Linked DNA regions of Bombyx mori. The protein of the gene in region 1 interacts with the protein of each later gene in a pairwise test. Links are inferred from orthologs where the notes say so. Each region holds a gene or a part of one and is shown in the gene's direction. Other genes may lie near its edges. The genes, in order: cell division cycle 5-like protein, spectrin beta chain, pre-mRNA-splicing factor syf1 homolog, TRAF3-interacting protein 1 and protein crooked neck.

Evidence for each region.
Region 2: the proteins of cell division cycle 5-like protein (region 1) and spectrin beta chain interact in binary tests that used the Homo sapiens proteins (3 or more experiments, as listed by UniProt). The link is inferred for Bombyx mori from reciprocal best matches to the Homo sapiens genes CDC5L and SPTBN1.
Region 3: the proteins of cell division cycle 5-like protein (region 1) and pre-mRNA-splicing factor syf1 homolog interact in a two-hybrid assay, tested with the Homo sapiens proteins (2 studies listed by BioGRID and IntAct, with this or other methods). The link is inferred for Bombyx mori from reciprocal best matches to the Homo sapiens genes CDC5L and XAB2.
Region 4: the proteins of cell division cycle 5-like protein (region 1) and TRAF3-interacting protein 1 interact in a two-hybrid assay, tested with the Homo sapiens proteins (2 studies listed by BioGRID and IntAct). The link is inferred for Bombyx mori from reciprocal best matches to the Homo sapiens genes CDC5L and TRAF3IP1.
Region 5: the proteins of cell division cycle 5-like protein (region 1) and protein crooked neck interact in a two-hybrid assay, tested with the Homo sapiens proteins (2 studies listed by IntAct). The link is inferred for Bombyx mori from reciprocal best matches to the Homo sapiens genes CDC5L and CRNKL1.

The regions. Positions count from the first base shown.
Region 1 is NC_085115.1:11,719,780-11,723,295, forward strand, and holds part of cell division cycle 5-like protein, read left to right. Parts: intron 1-2,822; coding exon 2,823-2,981; intron 2,982-3,061; coding exon 3,062-3,402; intron 3,403-3,516.
Region 2 is NC_085124.1:11,114,616-11,118,131, reverse strand, and holds part of spectrin beta chain, read left to right. Parts: intron 1-284; coding exon 285-535; intron 536-1,178; coding exon 1,179-1,338; intron 1,339-2,149; coding exon 2,150-2,288; intron 2,289-3,013; coding exon 3,014-3,195; intron 3,196-3,516. UniProt on the Homo sapiens protein: Fodrin, which seems to be involved in secretion, interacts with calmodulin in a calcium-dependent manner and is thus candidate for the calcium-dependent movement of the cytoskeleton at the membrane.
Region 3 is NC_085110.1:13,377,019-13,381,309, reverse strand, and holds the start of pre-mRNA-splicing factor syf1 homolog, read left to right. Parts: upstream 1-1,481; 5' UTR 1,482-1,821; coding exon 1,822-1,860; intron 1,861-2,095; coding exon 2,096-4,291. Other genes in the region: zinc finger CCCH domain-containing protein 13, read right to left, coding at 1-512. UniProt on the Homo sapiens protein: Involved in pre-mRNA splicing as component of the spliceosome. Involved in transcription-coupled repair (TCR), transcription and pre-mRNA splicing.
Region 4 is NC_085131.1:5,592,703-5,596,769, reverse strand, and holds the start of TRAF3-interacting protein 1, read left to right. Parts: upstream 1-1,258; 5' UTR 1,259-1,441; coding exon 1,442-1,576; intron 1,577-3,173; coding exon 3,174-3,291; intron 3,292-3,865; coding exon 3,866-4,067.
Region 5 is NC_085124.1:5,697,081-5,701,162, forward strand, and holds the start of protein crooked neck, read left to right. Parts: upstream 1-1,276; 5' UTR 1,277-1,439; coding exon 1,440-1,478; intron 1,479-1,551; coding exon 1,552-1,737; intron 1,738-2,082; coding exon 2,083-2,198; intron 2,199-3,088; coding exon 3,089-3,245; intron 3,246-3,339; coding exon 3,340-4,082. UniProt on the Homo sapiens protein: Involved in pre-mRNA splicing process. As a component of the minor spliceosome, involved in the splicing of U12-type introns in pre-mRNAs.

The DNA.
Region 1 (3,516 bases):
TTCTAAGGTCTCAGTATAGTTACTTGAGATTTCAACAAGTCTTTTGCCCTTGTAGGCAATTAATTCTCTCCACAAGCCTCGTTTGAAGAAGGACATGTCATAGCGCTCGGGAAACACCGTGGAGGGAGCTCATTCCATAGCCAGCTGGTACGTGGCAAAAAAGACCTCTGGAAACGCACTGTAAATGAACGCAGCGGTTCCAGATAATATGGATAAGCTTTGCTCCGATGGCGGGAGATGTTCTGCCCTGGTGTACAAGCAGATAACCACTAGTCGCAGACCCTTCTGGCGAAGTATTTCGGCTATTTAGTTTATCACTGAAGCAAAAATCCGCGGTGGTGCAGCTAAGCCGAATGGCAGGCATATCATCTGAAGTAGACGACCCTGATAACTGATCCCGAGAAACGTCATTGATAGATGATAATAGGCCTGGCTCAAATCCAGTTTGACATTCCAATCTGTTATAAAACTTAGGAACGATGGTGGAAAAGGTGAAAAAGACTGTTTCATGTACTTGTTCAATGCCTTGAGGTTGAAAATTGTTCGATTTTTTATTGGTCTTGGGAAGTATGAAAAGAGGAAATCTGAAAGACGGTATCGGGGGTGCGGGTTCTAAAGCTCTATTGAATTAAATTCTGGATTTTGATTGACATCAAGTTATTATTAATTTCAATATTACGTTTGGTGGATCGAGTCCAGGTGTTTCGATATAGTCTTAGACATCCGCCTGAAAATGCTGTTGAGTAATTTATTTTTATTTCCTGATTTTCGTTCCACTTTGTACTTGTTCCCCCCTCCCCCCGTTTTTCTTGCTGAGGAATTATTTGGATAGCATCGCACAGAATATCTGTTTTCGGCCTCTTTAGATGTATTGGAATGTGGCCTACCTCGACATGGCTTTGCATTGGCAGTACAAGCCGAGGGTTCCGGCGATGCGGGCCGGATGCGAGTAGCAGACGGTGCCGCTTTTGTAATTTATCAATACCACCAATTTTCTGTATATATGCCAATAATAAGTTGGGGTTAAACATAATCACAAGAAGAAGATATTTTCTCTATATCTTCCCTGATATATCTATCCTTTAATTTCTTTATGAGGTATCTACGACGCTATCGTATAACCTCGGCTCGCTTATCGAAAATTATTTGAAGGATATCGTTAGAAACTTTTATAGGCGAAATCGTTACCGAATAGCGGTTTAAACTTTTCGTAAAAGGCGGAAGTATTAAGATGAACGTTCTCTGAATGTGACCAGTCGGCAAGGTTTTGTAAGGCAGCATAACGCATTCGTTCTGTGCCAAAAGAGCATTAGATAACGCAGGAAAACATTTTTTTCTCCGAATCCTGCACCGCGTTCCAAGTCGGCTAGTCAAATCTTTGCATATCTGGTTCTTTTATAGAAATGCTCAAATTTCAAAACCTACCCGCTTCTGGTGGTAACGGACGGTCTGGTGGCAGACGTAAAAACTATTCGTCGTTGTCTAATTTCGATTGGAAGTTGAAACCAGATCAGACATTATTATTATAAGATGTTGGTATTTGTAAGTGTAAAGGCGGGACCACTGGTGCACGACCAGCAATAGCATGATTCGAAGTTAAAATAATATTCATATGACTCACCCATTATTGCGACAGTAAGTCAAACCTTTTATTCAGATCTCGCGACCAGTCACTTCTTCGAAGTTTTCTTGCTGGTCCCTAGTCTTTATTTTCAGACGAACCCGAAGAAATATCCGAAGAAATTTTACTTTGAAAGGCGCGATAACCTCGTCACTCATTGTAGAGCCTTGGAGGTTTTCACGAAACGGAAGATAATCATAACACTTGTTTGAAACAAACTTTCTACTTCAAATCTCGAAAGTTGCTTATAACATTTTAAATTACTAACTTCTTAAAATATTAACGACTGCACGTGGGAAAAAACGACGCAACAATGACAAATATGGCGGCTTGTCTTTGCTTGTTGGTTCGGTTCCAGACGTTATAGAGGGCGCTGTAGATGGGACTTAGGAAACGGAAGTAGTCAAATTTAGCGACCTGCAGTGGAAATCATACGATGTACTCTCATAATGGACTTCGGACGTCAAACGGAACACATAATAACTGCTTTGTATATAAATGATAGGCAATAACCATATTCGATGCGCAAAAAAATATATATTTCTAGGTCTATTAAAATCATTTCAATCCTACAGCTAGATTCGTTAAAATTGGTTTTTTTTTCAGGTATTTCAACTTTAAATTAGTCTACTGTAAAGGTCACGCATTGTCGCTTAGTCACGTTTGCCTTTCAGGCGTCGATATCGTTTTCTCGCATTAAAACTGTATAATCTCAAAACTTACTAATTTTACTCAAAACTTACTAATTTTAAAGGTTTAACATCTGATATTTCTAATATTATCATTTTTGCAACATTTATTTTTTATTTTTTACCAGTTACATTATCTGTCTTTTAAAGTAAGATAAAATTATGTATTAATTTTGTTAATAGTAATCAAAACATAGGTAAAAAGAAAAATTAAAAAATCTAAACTACGCTCTTTTGACAGTATTTATGAGAAAAATACTGGTGATATGAAATGATTACGCATATTAACTAAATTTCGAATATTTTTGGAAATTACTTTTAATGCGAAGAGACGATATAGCGTGGGGAGGAGCTGCTGTTACAGTCGCAGGTCGCTATAAATTTTGCTTTCTATGGTAAAGTTGCCCAACACTTGTCGTTTCATTTAGTTTTATATCAAATACATGAAATAAAATTATTTTTGATATTAATTATGCTGTTATAACTTACTAAGAAAAATATTTTAATTACAGAATTCTAATGGAAGCACAGAATGTAATGGCACTAACTCATGTGGACACCCCATTGAAAGGAGGCTTGAACACTCCATTACATGAGAGTGATTTTTCTGGGGCACTACCTCAAAATCAAGTTGTGGCCACACCTAACACTGTTCTGGCTACACCATTCAGGTATTTTTGCATCAAAAGTTTAAATACTGTCCACATTGTTCAGTAGATAGATAGATATTGAAATCATTATTTTGTTTCAGATCATCTCGCAGTGAAGTGTCCACACCTGGCAGTTTTAACACTCCAGGACATGGCAATAGTCAGCTTGGGCTGACCCCAGGCTTGCGAGATAAACTTAATATCAACCCTGAAGACAGAGTGAATGGTGGTGACACTCCTCAAATTTCCCATCAACTTCAAAAACAAGCAAAAACATCAGTCAGAAACGCTTTGCAATCTCTGCCTGTTCCGAGAAATGACTATGAAATCGTGGTGCCGGAGCAAGAGGCTGGTGAAGATAAGGACGATTCGGCCGCAGTCGTTTCCGTGGAGGACCAAGCTGATGCTGATGCTAGATATGCTAAGGAACAAGAAGAAAAACGTAAGTTTTCCGTTCGTCATAACACCTTGTCTGATCTACGCAGAATGATTCTGTAATATTATAATTTGAGCCAGGCCATATGGTATGTGCACGTTGAGAAATGCTCTTGTAAGA
Region 2 (3,516 bases), on another chromosome or scaffold:
GCACTGTGTAAACTTAAAAACCGCACTCTCATATCGCGGTTTTGTTGAACGTACTAAAATTAATTAAAATTTATAAAAAAAAATTAAAAATGAGTATTATTACTATAACTATCACAAAAGCAAACTTTATACCAAAAAAAGGTATTTTATTTTCGTTTTTGTGAATAATTAACCGTAAAAACCTAGAATAAACGTTAGGATAAAAAACGATATTTTTTTTGTAGAGTTGTGTAATTCGTAATACAATAACTATAAAGCATAGTCGTGACGGCCACGGTCCCCAGGCGCAGGAGCTGAGCCCGGAGGACGCCAACAGCGGCGAGGTGCGCGAGCGGCTGGCGGCCATCGACGCGCGGCACGGCGAGCTGGCCGAGCTGGCGCGCCTCCGCAAGCAGCGCCTGCTGGACGCGCTGTCGCTGTTCAAGCTGCTCGCCGAGGCCGACGCCGCCGACCAGTGGATCGCGGAGAAGCACCGCATGCTCGACACCATGCTGCCGCCCAGCGACATCGACGACGTCGAGATCATGAAGCACAGGTACGCTCCTTCATTATAAAGCTGAAGAGTTTTTTTTTGAACACGCTAATCTCAGGAACTACTGGTCCAATTTAAATTCTTTCAGTGTTAGATAGCCCATTTATTGAGGAAGGCTATATATATAGGCTATATAACATCACGCTAAGACCAATACAAGCGGAGCACCAATAAAGAATGTCTCAAAATCGGGATTATTTTTCCTTTTTGAGAGCTTCCGCTGCGTGCGCTGCAGAAACAATAAAAGTTTCGCTAAAATAATGTATGACAATTGTTCCCCTTTAAAAGATCTAAAAAAAAGTCCGCGACAGCATGTCTTATATATTAAGGTTGGCTGGCTTACTATAACGTTTTTTATGCTAACCAAATGTATTCTAAAATAAAGCATTATTTGTGAGCTATTCCACGCGAAGCCACGGGCAAAAGCTAGTAGAAAATATTTTGTTAAGTTAATTAAAGTTACATCAAAATGTGTAGCTAAATAAATAATAAAAATATATATAATCATTTACATAGCTACATACTGGCTAGAAATACGAAATCTAATAGTAGTAGCATACCAGTAGATGTCGACCAATCTCGTCTTCAGAAGTAAAACATTAGCGTAGTAGACAGTATTGTGTCGCTAACTGCGGTCTGTTTTCAGATACGACGGCTTCGACAAGGAGATGAACGCGAACGCGTCCCGCGTGGCCGTCGTGAACCAGCTGGCGCGGCAGCTCGTGCACGTGGAGCACCCGCAGGCGCCGCGCATCCAGGACCGCCAGCACCAGCTCAACCACGCCTGGAGCGCGCTCCGGGAGAAGGTACGCACCGCACGTAACGACCTCGCTAGGACTGCCATCTACAGGGTTCTGCGAGAATTGCTGTTTAGATCCATGTCTAAATATTATTAGAGATCACTGGTGGTAGGACCTCTTGGAAGTCCGCACGGGTAGGTACCACCACCCTGCCTATTTCCGCCGTGAAGCAGTAATTCGTTTCGGTTCGAAGGGTGCGGTAGCCATTGTAACTATACTGAGACCTTAGAACTTATATCTCGAGGTGGGTGGCGCTTTTACGTTGCAGATGTGTATGGGCTCTAGTAACCACTTAACACCAGGTGGGCTGTGAGCTCGTCTATCCATCTAAGCAGTAAAAAAAATATAAAAAAAATTTCAGACAGTTCAACAAAGTAGCTTCGAATTAACTAAAAACAAAAAAAAAAGATGTGTGGTGTCGTGGGACACCGGACAGGAACAAGGTTCCTTATTATAAAAATATTAATTTTAAGTTCTATTAGAGGTATAATAAAGAAAATAAAACTGGAGGTTTCGCAACAACCCACGGTCATTCGGTAACGTGCGAATTTATTGTGGTACACTTCATTCACGGTTGCTTGCATAAGAGTTAGTGTATTGCGCAAACGAACACTCTGAGATCGTGGTCAATGAATGATATTATAAAAAAATATGCTATTTTTGTACATTATTGCAAAGTTAAGTCGTACACTGTGTGCATTACTAATAATAATCTTACGTTACGGACGTTTTTTCCCGGTTAGGGTACCCCTCCGCATCGTCCCATAAGGAACATCGTTCCCAAAAAAATTAAATTTATATTTATTCCAATCCTTAGGCTGAAGCGAAGAAGGATGAGCTTAAGTCCGCTCAAGGTGTGCAGACATTCCACATCGAATGTCGCGAGACCGTCTCGTGGATCGAGGACAAGAAACGCATACTGCAGCAAACCGACGACCTCGAGATGGATCTTAACGGTGAGTACAATCATATCAGATGCTTTTAGAAATTTCAAACAGATTTCGCTTAGTTTTCAAACCGGTAATTTGACTTTCATCAAGGCTGTTTTATATTTTTTTAGTCTTAGATAGTTAAATTAAGATAAGTTAAGTGAACTACGATTGAAAATGATGCTATAGTAATGATATCTCGAGGTTTGTGTGCTGTCCTTGTTTCTTTATTGAAAAACAAAAAAATACAAATTGAATCTTACTTGTGCTCGCTTTTGTAACTTAGATTTTTATAGAAAATCAATACCTAAAATTGCAGGAGAACATTAAAACATACTCATACTCAATTCCCATTGAATAGTTAAAATACTTATCAGAAATTAAGACGATTTCAGTAATTTTTTCTAAAACGTTTTCTATTTAAATACACTCACTAAGGCTATTATTGGCTTCAATTAGTAGTATACCAGCTAGGTATTTGCACCAGATGCAGTCACCAAAATCAATGTTAATGATTAAACTCCCACTGCAGGGTAGTACGTATCCACTGTTAATAAATTGACCGTCCAAACAAGTGTCCGTTAAGGAGTATTTCTGAAAACTTTATCTACCAATAACATTTGATTAGTATGTTAACCGCCCACATATCGTAATTTAGTTGCTTATTAATTTCATGTAAATGACCGTAAACAATTACACTAAAGCTTAGCTGATTTCATATTACCATTGTAAAATGTACCATATGTTTCTAGGCGTGATGACTCTCCAACGTCGTTTGTCCGGAATGGAGCGCGACTTGGCCGCCATACAGGCTCGCATCTCGTCCCTGGAGAGCGAGGCCAGCGCCATCGAGAACGAACATCCCGAGGAGGCACAACTCATTCGGGAACGCGTCGAACAGATCACTCAGAACTGGGAGCAACTCACTCACATGGTCAGTAATTATACACACAACACTAAATGGCTTCGTGCAGTTTGGTAGAAATCACCACAGATGTTACTGATATATGATATTATGCTTTACGTGGAAACGTCGTGTGAATAAACACACGACAGAAAAGGTCGCAAGACAATACAAATGTTGTGCTTAAAGTAATTATCATTGGGTCCCTGACTCTCATGTTGAGTAGCAGAGGGATATGACATGGGTTCCAGTGACCGATGAACTTAATATTCCTAGCAGTTGATCTACATTCCCCTCCCCGAAAGATTTATCTATAACCTCATATCTACATATACATTCTCTATATTAATT
Region 3 (4,291 bases), on another chromosome or scaffold:
ACACTCGAAGAACTAGAGCTTCTAGATGAAGACGTACTGGACACGACTTTTTTTTTATCTTTTCGCATGTCTTTGTTTGAATCCATTTTCATCTGTAATTCTAGTTCACGCTGCAACTGCTGTCTTCGTTTTTCGAGGACATCTGTGTCTGCATACTCTAAGTCATTTTGGTCCCAGTTATCGATTTCTCCTTCGGGGCTTTGACCTGACCGCACTATAACAGTAGAATGCAATCTAGTCTTCCCATCATCCTTCACTAAACGTTTCTGATCATTGTCTTTATGAGCTGCGCGTTGTTTAGAAGGACTGATAAGAGTATGCGTAGAAGCAAATTTACAACTTTTGCCGTAAGCACAGCTGCCGTGTTGGGCCCACTGTCTACAATGTTCAGTTGTTTTTTTAGCACTTGATGATTTCTTAGTACCGAGCCGATCAAACACACTAGGTCTAATAGAGAGATCTTTCGTTTTCGGCAATTCAACAGATATTTTTCTTTTTCCTTGTTTTGACATTATAGTAGAAATACATTTGTATCACATTAAACTAAAAAAAAAGAACTAAAAAATAATCTTCTCTAACCGGCACGGTGAAGTCAAGTAAATTAAAGGTTTTATATTTTTTACAAAAAGGAATTGTACAAACATTTATTTATGGTCTATTATCTATGACAAACGCTATTATTTGGAGCGATTTTTTTCTACTAGTTTCTCTTAGTAGGCAAGCGGAATGTAGTTCTCGTTACATAAATTAATATTTACTTAAATCTTTGTTTAACAACACGTTTGCATGCAGTACGGCAATGGATGGCCATAATTCCTAACATAGCTTACAAGTTACAATCAGCTTACATCTCAAACTCAAATAATAAGCGTATTATCTATGATAGCTTACAAGGCCCAAGGCAAAAGCAGAAGCGCTTTTACACGTGGAGTAGATAGGTAGGGCTCACTAAATTTGGCCCCTCGTTTTTTGATTTTTGGATTTTTTTTATTTTTAATTATTTGTTCGTCGTTTGTTCGTTAATTTTCGAATGTAAAAATTGTTTGTTCGTCTTTTAATTATTTATAATTAATTAAACAAATGATCTCCCTTAAGTTGGGCCCCCCCTTACTAGATATCTTTATTTTCATCGCTCAGATTAATTAATTTTGATCAGTTACATTATTAAGCCGCACAAACTAATACTTAAATTAGTTATCTCACAAGTGTGTATAATCTATAGATACTTAAAATTTATGGTATAATCGGATCTATTCCGTTCTTTAATCTATAATCGGATTTTTGGCAGGAACGCGAGGAGTGAAATTGTGTGATTTGTTTTATTTTGTTTACTTAGTGTTTCTTCAAGTTTAAATGTGTAATAACGGTGGTTTATTAACTGTTTAATATCTGTGAAAGTGCACAAAAGTGGGAAAATGAAACAAAGCCACTGGACGTAACTTTTCGGGATTCTCCAAAAAGTCCACTGAATCAAAATTCTCAGTAAATGACCACCATTTTACTTAGATTATATTTCATCTCACATCATCTCATCTCATTTCATTTCACTCCATATTATGATTTTTCATAAAAATTAAAATATAAATTAAAATAAAACATGACCTAAAGGTCTTAGTTACCAGGTCATAAAATCTCTTAAAAAAATAAGGTACAATCTATGATATTGTGTGTCATAGATTAAACACTGAAGTGTGTTCCATAGATTATACACATAATATATTTGAGTGTGTTCTAAAGAAATAGAATTAAGCTAATTATTCAATTACTCAACTGTTTGAATTGAATTTATAGTACCTACGGTACATATTCGAAAGCTTTAGAATGCCTCTTCTAGACGGAAAAGAAATCGACATATTCTTCGTAAGTTCAAAAATATTTTTATAATTTACAATGCTTAGTGTGCATACATATTTACTTTTGCCGACATATGAAAATACAATCAACAAATATTTTTTTCAACCCAAATTCAATTAACAAAGAAACCTTAATATATCAACTGCTTTAAAAAATCTAACCAAAGCTTTTGTGGTTTTCTGGTACGTTGATATCAAACATTATTATCATATTAATTCAAATAAAATTGTTATTGTTACAGAGTGAAGAAGATCTTCCGTATGAAGAGGAAATCCTAAGAAATCCATTTTCTGTCAAACATTGGCTTAGGTACATTGAACACAAGAAAACTGCACCCAAACATGAAATTAATATGATATATGAACGAGCTTTAAAAGAATTACCAGGATCTTTTAAACTTTGGTATAACTATCTTAAATTAAGAAGAAAACAAATAAGAGGTCGCTGTATAGCTGACCCATGCTATGAAGATGTAAACAATTGCTTTGAAAGGTCTTTAGTATTTATGCACAAAATGCCTAGAATATGGATGGATTACTGTTCATTCTTAACAGATCAGTATAAAATAACTACAACAAGGAAAGCGTTTGACAGTGCTCTTAGAGCTTTACCAATAACTCAACATCATAGGATATGGCCTCTTTACTTAAATTTCTTGAAGAAACACAATATACCCGAAACAGCTGTAAGAGTGTTTCGTAGGTATCTTAAATTATGTCCTGAAGATACTGAAGAGTATATTGACTACTTAACTTCAATAGATAAATTAGATGAAGCTGCAGTCAAATTGGCTCAACTAGTTAATAATGAGAATTTTCAATCAAAACATGGAAAGTCAAATCATCAACTTTGGAATGAATTATGTGAATTGATATCAAAGAATCCTGATCAAATTCATTCTCTGAATGTCGACGCTATTATCAGAGGGGGATTAAGACGTTACACTGATCAGCTAGGCCACCTGTGGAACTCTCTTGCAGACTATTATGTTCGAAGTGGTCTTTTTGAAAGAGCCAGAGACATTTATGAAGAAGCTATACAAACTGTGACTACAGTGAGGGATTTTACACAAATATTTGATGCTTATGCACAATTTGAGGAATTAAGTCTTAGTAAAAAAATGGAAGAAGTTGCCAAGAAAACTAATCCAAGTGAAGATGATGATATTGATTTAGAATTGAGACTTGCCAGATTTGAGTATCTTATGGAAAGAAGGCTGTTACTGCTTAATTCAGTTCTACTTAGACAAAATCCACATAATGTGGCTGAATGGCATAAAAGAGTCAAATTATATGAAGGTAAACCCCATGAAATAATAGATACATATACTGAAGCAGTGCAAACTGTAGACCCTAAATTAGCTGTTGGTAAACTTTTCACACTGTGGGTTGGATTTGCAAAATTTTATGAAAACAATGACCAAATTGAAGATGCCAGATTAATTTTTGAAAAAGCTACACAGGTAGCATATGTTAAAGTAGACGATTTAGCTTCAGTTTGGTGTGAATGGGCTGAAATGGAAATCAGACATGAAAATTATGAGCAAGCCCTAAAATTAATGCAAAGAGCCACTGTTTTACCAAGCAGAAAAGTAGCATATCATGATGATTCTGAAACTGTGCAAATGAGGTTGTATAAATCACTAAAGGTTTGGTCCATGTATGCTGACTTAGAAGAGAGTTTTGGTACATTCAAATCTTGCAAAGCTGTGTATGATCATATTATAGATTTAAAAATTGCTACTCCACAAATTATTATCAATTATGGATTATTTTTAGAAGAGCATAATTACTTTGAAGAAGCTTTTAGAGCATATGAAAAGGGTATTGCCTTATTCAAGTGGCCTAATGTGTATGATATTTGGAATACATATCTAACAAAATTTTTAAAAAGATATGGTGGTTCAAAACTTGAAAGAGCAAGAGATTTATTTGAGCAATGTCTTGAGCATTGTCCCAATGAATTTGCAAAGTCTATTTTCTTATTATATGCAAAATTGGAAGAAGAGCATGGTTTAGCTAGACATGCAATGTCTGTATATGAGAGAGCTACTACTGCCGTTCTACCTGAAGAAATGTTTGAAATGTTCAATATTTATATTAAAAAAGCTGCTGAAATTTATGGAGTTCCTAAAACACGACAGATTTATGAAAAGGCTATTGAGACTCTTCCTGAAGAGAAGGCTAGGGAAATGTGTGTTCGCTTCTCAGAAATGGAAACTCGCCTAGGTGAAATTGATAGAGCTCGGGCAATATATGCACACTGTAGTCAAATGTGTGATCCTAGAATTACAGCTGATTTTTGGAACACTTGGAAAGAATTTGAAGTTAGGCATGGTAATGAAGATACAATGAGAGAAATGTTAAGAATTAAAAGAAGTGTGCAAGCCACATATAATACACAGGTGAATATGATGTCTGCACAAATGTTGAGTTCT
Region 4 (4,067 bases), on another chromosome or scaffold:
TTGCAAATCGTGTTTACAGAACAATAGTTTATTTAGTTTACAAAACGAAACTACATAAACAATCAAGAAGTTAGTGGGTATACACTTTGATATTACTTTCACTCAGGCGCTTTGAGAAAATTGTATAGCTTCACACAATTTGGTCTTCAAGTAAACTTTAGACAGAACAGAGCATCAGGCGCCACGTCTGCATATTAAATTTACATTCAGTCTTGCCAATGTAGTGTAGATCTAAGGAAAAGCATATCGAGCCACAATTTTAAACGATTAATTAAGACATAAATAAGTCTTGTTAAAATATTTATTTTGTAATAAATTGATTATTTTGATGCAATTTAAAAGAATTATTGATAAAATTATAGACCTACAAATTGTACACAGACAATAAATAAACATTAGTAATTGTGCTGATTTGTGCTTACGTAGGATAATCTATGATACGGTAAGTCTGCTTTTTTTTTTCAATATGAAAATTAAATGAGCTTCTTGACATGATATGGCGTATGTTGAGTTCAAATTAAAATTATGTGGATTTTTTTTCGAAAGTGGGAAAGGTGTATTGTAAATTACCAACTTGGGATATGCGTACCTCTGGGGTGTTCCGAATCCCATTGGGGGTACGTGAAAATTATATTGGTAATGGCCGTAAATACTGAGAAGTTTAAGTAGTTAACTTAAAAAAATTAAAAATATGATGATAATGTTGTTTTGTCTACAACATATAGTTTTAAATGAACTTTATTCTAATAACTATTTAATAAAAACGACCGATAAACCAGAAATGAGACATTTTTTAAGTATGGAGTTATCAGGATTTAATCGAAGAGAAATGAGACACATTAGGTATGGAGTTATCAAGGTTGGAGAACTCAAAAAAAGTTTAAGGGGTATGGGAATGAAAAATGTTTGGAAAGCACTGCTTTAGATCACCGTGGCGGGCACCGTGGATTTTCATAGCAGCAAAAATCAATCCTTCTTTTTGAAAGTACGTAATAAAAACAAGATCGCTGTTGCGCAAATTACTTTAGATTGCCAATTTGAAAGCTCCGTAAATCCTTGTATTTTACTGAGTGTTCATTTAATGCCATTCCATCCCATCTCATTGGTTTTAAATATGTTTTATTCTTTTTCACTTTTCATTCAAACGATATGGGTTTTGCCTGGAATTTTTTACAATTGTCATTAAAGCTATCTTGAAAATGGATACCGGCTGTATGGGCATATATCCCGTTCTTTGACCAACAAAACATTTTTGGGTTCTAAGCCGTTTCCATGGGAACGTACAGTGTACACAAAATTAAAAATACCACGACTCCTGACAACCTTTATGAAACCTATGTTTCTTGTTAAATTATTGTAATCAACAATTTTTTGTGTCGTTAAGAATAGGTATATGGTTATTTGATATTTATTGCTTCATGTTTACTTTGTAATATGTGCAATGGAAAAAGAAATAGATCCACAGATCATAAAAGAAACTCAAACATCTCTCGGAAAATATGTGAAGAGGCCGCCTTTAAGTGAAAAATTACTGAAGAAGCCTCCCTTTAGATTTCTACATGATATTATTACTAGCGTGAGTGCATATATTTTTCAAAGCACTTTAAAAACACACTTAGAAAATTCAAAATAGCAATGACTTCAAAAATGCACTTTTCCAGTGACGTATGATAAGATTCAGCGCCCTGAGCCGATAAGGTTTAACGCCTTAATAAAATAAACGAAAAAAATATTTTTTTTAATACGAAATTAAATCGTGCTTTATTGTTTGTGTGTAAAGAATAATCATAAAGAATGAAAATATGAAAATGGCCAAGTAAAGAAAAAGCAAAACTGAGCGCGTAATGATGCGGTTTGCGTCTATCCTAACAGGAGCCTTTTTAGTTTTAGGGTATCTACCCTAGAACCCTAGAGGCGTATTTACGCTGTGTAATTCCACTGACGAGACCTGTTACAGAAAAATGACCAATCTGAACAGAAATTAAATAAAGCAACACCATATCTATCTATACTTTATTTTTTTATATTAAAAAGCTGAAGAGTTTGTTTGTTTGGTTGAACTCGCTAATCTCAGGAACGACTGGTCCGATTTGAAAATTTCTTTCAGTGTATATAGGCTATTTAACATCACACTAAGACCAATACGAGCGGAGCACTAATAAATAATGTTTCAAAATCGGGTTTATTTCCTTTTGGGAGCCTCCGCTGCGTGCGCTGCGGAAACGGTTTAAGTGTCGCTAAAATAAAATATGACAAAAAAATCCCCTTTAAAAGTTTTAAAAAAAACTCCGCGACGGCATATATTGGCTCACTAAAACCTTTTTTAAACTAACCAAATTTGTTCTAAAATAAAGCATTATTTGTGACGGTGTTTTTATAAAGATGATATTACTTAATACTTATCCAAAGAAATACGTTATTCATTACAAGCATTTAATTTAAAAGAAATTGGCCCTTTACATAATTTGATTTCAATGAGTATCCTAGAAGATATCGCAGTTTTAAAATAACATTAGCAAAATGCATAAGAAAAATAATGATCAAGCACGTAATAATGGTGTAGGTAGAAGGCGCCGCCGCCGCGCCGGTGCGCGGCGACATAAAATAAGAACAAAAAAGAAGTACCCAAATCATTTCAAGATAGGCTGAAAATTGTAGATTTTTTCGATTTCTCCAGGATCCCATCATCAGATCCTGATCCTGATGATTACTTACAGGACCATTCGGGAAGTCTAGCGTTTCGAACAAAAAAAAAGAATTATCAGAATCAGTTCAAGCATTCTCGAGATATCGGTGAACAACATAGATAAAAATATGGTGGTCGAATTGATAACCTCCTCTTTTGAAGTCGGTTAAAAAGCGTGACTTTGGTCCCTTAAATAGCTCCTTAACATTCTTTATTAAATAATATTTACACCTTCTATGAAGTCCCGGGTAAAATTTAGCGTTATCCCAAAGTTAATTAAAGTCTAAGTAAAATAGTCTGATATTACTTACAAAATGGCTTAAGTAGCTAACATGTCCTGGTAACAAATTTTTTATTACCATTGTATTCACTGCCTGATCTGAGCTGATGTTAATCTGTTACCAAAGTCCATAGACATCGAGACCTATGTAAGTCTAAGTTTTTACTAATCATTATTTTCTCTAATGCTTTTTATTATTAATTCTAGGTTTTAAAAACAACTGGATTTTTCGAAGGTTTATTTGAAAAGGACGAGTTAACTTCTGAGAATGTTAAAGATAGAGAGAGTAAAATACAGTTTTTAAATAAAGTCATTTCAGTTATACGTAAGTTGATTTTAGATGTATAGATGGATGAACGTGCTCACAGCTCGCCTGGGGTTCTAATATCGGAGTCCATAGACTTCAAAAAGTGAATACCTACCTTTACTAGGGTCTCTATTTCAATTGGATAGTAGTTCTGCAAATTAGTTTTATGTAAAATTTTAAAGCTAAAATAGGTGACCGAGCTCACTGCATACCCGTGGTTATCGGAGTTCATACACATCAACAACGGAAATGGCAGCACCCACCTTGAGACATGAGTTATAAATCTTAGTTCTATAAGTTCCATAGCACGATGGCTACTCTACTCTGTCTTAATGTATTAGACAGGCAATATTAAGTTATGAGAATATTGTAAGGTTCAAATAACCGTATCAGATACCGTTTTTTTTCTATCTATTAATGTAATAACTACCGCTGTCTTGCCCATATTCTTTTCGAAACTTTCGCAGCTACTATAATATAATATATATTAGATTAATACGTTGTGTTCCCGAACTCACTCACATATTAACACAATTAAGTATGTATTTAAAAAAACTTACAAGTATTCTTAATTTAGTAAATTTATATACAGATTATACAACAGGAAAACCTATCAATATTAAGCCTTCAAAGATAGTAGCAGGTCAAGAGGCAGAGAAAACGAATGAACTCTTACAATGTTTGGCACAAGCTCTAGACAACAATTTATCGTCAGTAGAAGCAGTGAAAAAATATAAAGAAAATGCATCACAAAATACTGTGCTTATAAAAGAAACGAGATCTAAAGAATCGAT
Region 5 (4,082 bases), on another chromosome or scaffold:
TATTATCTGTGCTATTTATCATAGATACCTACCTACTTGGCTTAAAAAACTTTGTTTCGAAGCCACTAGAAATTTATAAAAAAAAATCTACCTACTACCTACATATCACTACTAAAGATGGGTTAATACCGATATTTGTCAATATTAGCGAATACGAATATATTCATGATGTAATATTATAATAACTTAACTAATGCGTGAATATATCCTGATATCTTAATATACTTCGATAAAACGGGTAAACGAGTTAACCGAGTACGGTATTCGTGAAATAAGTTAATAATCATAGATAATACACATAAATTAGTTATTAAATTAATATAAATAGTATACTGTATCTAGGAATTTGATTTCATACTAAATATTTTACAAGTAATATTATGTACATTAATATGAATATTATTATTAAACCAGAATTTGGTCAACATTGTACATTAATATAAACAACAAGTTAGTAATATTATTTATTTCTTATTGGTGCATAAAAACATCAGCTTTTTTACTTTTTCTACCGAATGACCGGTACGTCGCTCAGAAATGAGTATTCCAGATTTCGAAAAAATCCTCTGATACGGTACTGAGGTGGCTAGTAGGTACACAACAGTTATATTAATAGTATAATCCATGAACCGTTTGGTTAGAAAGTCATTTCGATTCAAAAATCAAACTTTTATTTATAGTTTGAGAAGTTCTTAGAAGATAATTAACTACTACCACAAAAATATATTGTCATCATAATTTATTACATATAAACATTTAATGAAAATAAAGCTCACCGATTTTATTCCAATAAATGTGGAAATGCACTATTTTGTCTTGAGTCGAATCTTTAGTACAAACATAAAAAGTAATGCATTTAAAAATTCCCACTGGCATCTTTGACATGTAAAAAGTGCAATACAAAATAGTCCTTAAACTCATAGCGAAATATAGTTATTTTCATTGCTCAGTATATAAACATGTAGATTATCTCACTTACTCTTAGCGCATGCAGTGCATTGATATGAATGTGATAAACAGATATCCGCGAGACACGTACGGCGTATGTCAGTATATTTTCGTGTGATAGATATTTCGCTAGGAGTAACAGTGTTCTGTGGATAGATACAACCCGACTGATGTGAGCTGGCTATTATTATGAATAAGTGAATACGGAATATTAGCATATCAGAATTCGACGGATTACCGATAGACGAATACAAGCTGTATTACGAATATCTTAGTGAATGCTAATATATCGGTATCACCCTTAACCACTACCTACCGTATTCACTTCTCTTAAAAATGTGTATAATCTATGCTTCTCATTTTGACAATAAATAAAAAAAAAACCTGAAGATTTCCTTTCCTGTACTTAGCTGTTTATTGTATGTAATCAAATTAAATTTAGGTTAAACTGAACTAAAAAATTATAAACTGTGCAGAACGTAGAACTTAACATGGACAGCAAGACAACAAAAATGCCGAAAGTGGCAAAGGTACGAAAAAAGTGTTTGATGGTATTGTTGAATAATATTACTCCAATTTTAACATGGATCTCACGATTTTTAGGTGAAGAATAAAGCACCAGCAGAAATCCAAATAACAGCTGAACAATTACTTAGGGAAGCCAAAGAACGAGACCTTGAGATATTACCACCGCCACCTAAACAGAAAATATCTGATCCTGAGGAACTTCGAGACTACCAACATCGTAAACGTAAAGCATTTGAGGACAACATAAGAAAGAACAGACTTGTAAGTAAATTCAATTTATTAGTCGCTTACAATGTATAAATGACTGTTTTTCCTATTAATGTAATTGTTTCTCAGTTTTAAGACCATCCAATGCTTAGTTTTACTAGCTGATAGAGTTCACCAAATTAATTTCATTAATTGATTTCGTGCCATTACGATCCTTTGAACAATATAGGTTTCATGCTGTTTCCACAATAAGAAGGGTACTAAACAATTTCTACTCAGAGCATTACTGACGAAAACCAGATGAGGATACTTTTATTTAGTAGTATTTCTTCAAGAAAACAACAAATAATATAATAATATCGAATTTTAGTTTAATGGATGCTTTGTTTTTGTTTTCAGGTTATTGGGAACTGGCTTAAATATGCACAATGGGAAGAATCACAAAAGCAAATCCAAAGAGCTCGTTCAATATATGAGCGTGCTTTGGATGTGGATCACAGAAATGTTACCTTATGGTGAGAGCTATCATTACAATTAACAATTTTATTTGAAAAATTATTAACTTATGTGCTCTTGGTACTGCCAGTGTTTAAACCATATGACTATTTTAAAAAATGTTTGAGAAATCTGTGGTGTTAATTTTTTTTTGCATTCTTGGCTCATCTGATAGTAATTGTTAGTCACACTACTGAGTACTCTTTGTAAGCCTCATTTGAACAAGGACATATTGTTGGATCACTCAAGACATGGGCTTTAGAACAAAATTCATGTCACAGTGAAGAAAAAAATTAATTCTTAAAGAGTTACCATACAAAGATCAGCTTATAATAGAACATATAAAAAAGATTCCTATGTCACTCTGTTCACATTACAATTTTATTTGGTTAGTAAACTTGTAGACAATTGTGGACGAAATGTTAAGATGTTTGATATACTTGTAATGACCAATACAACTATACTAGAGTTCATAGCCTTTGTGCTACCTAAAGCCCAATATATTTAAGGAAATACATACCCGATATGAAGAAATTTCATAAGTAAATAAGAACAAAGTGTCATTACAAAATTGATACTCTATTAATGTATTGTGAACTGGCATGTAATATATCATCCTGCCTATTTCAACAGTTATGCATTTGGTTTGAATTGTCCAACAGTTGTTTTATAAAGGAATTGAGACTTCAATCTCAAATTGATGCCTATTTAGTCCAAGAGCCACTTATTTAACAAATAAAACAATCTGTACTTTGAAAAATCTGTAAAAGTCATGGACTTTCTTGGTAAATTTCTTACAGTTTTAACTGTTAAATTTGCGTCACTCTTCAATTATCCACACTACCTTAACTACCTGTACTTTAGGCTGTTATACCACACCAAAATATTCTCAGCGTATCATGGGTTTTAGGCTGAAGTATACTGAAATGGAAATGAGGAACAGACAGGTAAACCATGCCCGTAATCTATGGGACAGAGCTGTTACAATTCTGCCAAGAGTATCTCAGTTTTGGTACAAATATACTTACATGGAGGAAATGTTGGAAAATGTAGCTGGAGCAAGACAGGTGATATTTTTTATACATGTACAATTTCTCGTATAATGATAATAGTCACTGACTGTAACTGAAACAAGGTTTCTAATTTACTTTTGTTTCACAGGTATTTGAACGTTGGATGGAATGGCATCCAGATGAGCAAGCTTGGCAAACATACATAAACTTTGAATTGAGGTACAAAGAACTTGAACGGGCTAGACAAATCTATGAACAGTTTGTTATGGTGCATCCAGATGTAAAGAATTGGATAAAATATGCAAAATTTGAAGAAAACCATGGTTTCATAAATGGCTCTAGGACAGTTTTTGAGAGAGCTGTTGAATTCTTTGGTGATGAAGAATTAGATGAAAGACTGTTTATAGCGTTTGCCAAATTTGAAGAAAATCAAAAAGAACATGACAGAGCAAGAGTGATTTACAAATATGCTCTGGATCATGTCCCAAAAGACAGAAATAAAGAACTTTATAAAGCTTATACTATTCATGAAAAGAAGTATGGTGATAGATCTGGCATTGAGGATGTAATAGTAAATAAGAGAAAGTATATGTATGAACAGGAAGTTATAGAGAATCCCACAAATTATGATGCATGGTTTGATTATATTAGATTAGTGGAGAATGAGGGTAATTTAGATGACATAAGAGACACATATGAGAGAGCAATTGCAAATATCCCTCCTTCAAAGGACAAACAATTTTGGAGGCGTTATATTTACTTGTGGATTAATTACGCTTTATATGAAGAGTTAGAAGCAGAAGATTTAGATCGAACAAGACAAGTTTACAGAACCTGTTTAGAATTAATTCCTCATAAGATATTTACTTTCTCAAAAATATGGCTCATGTA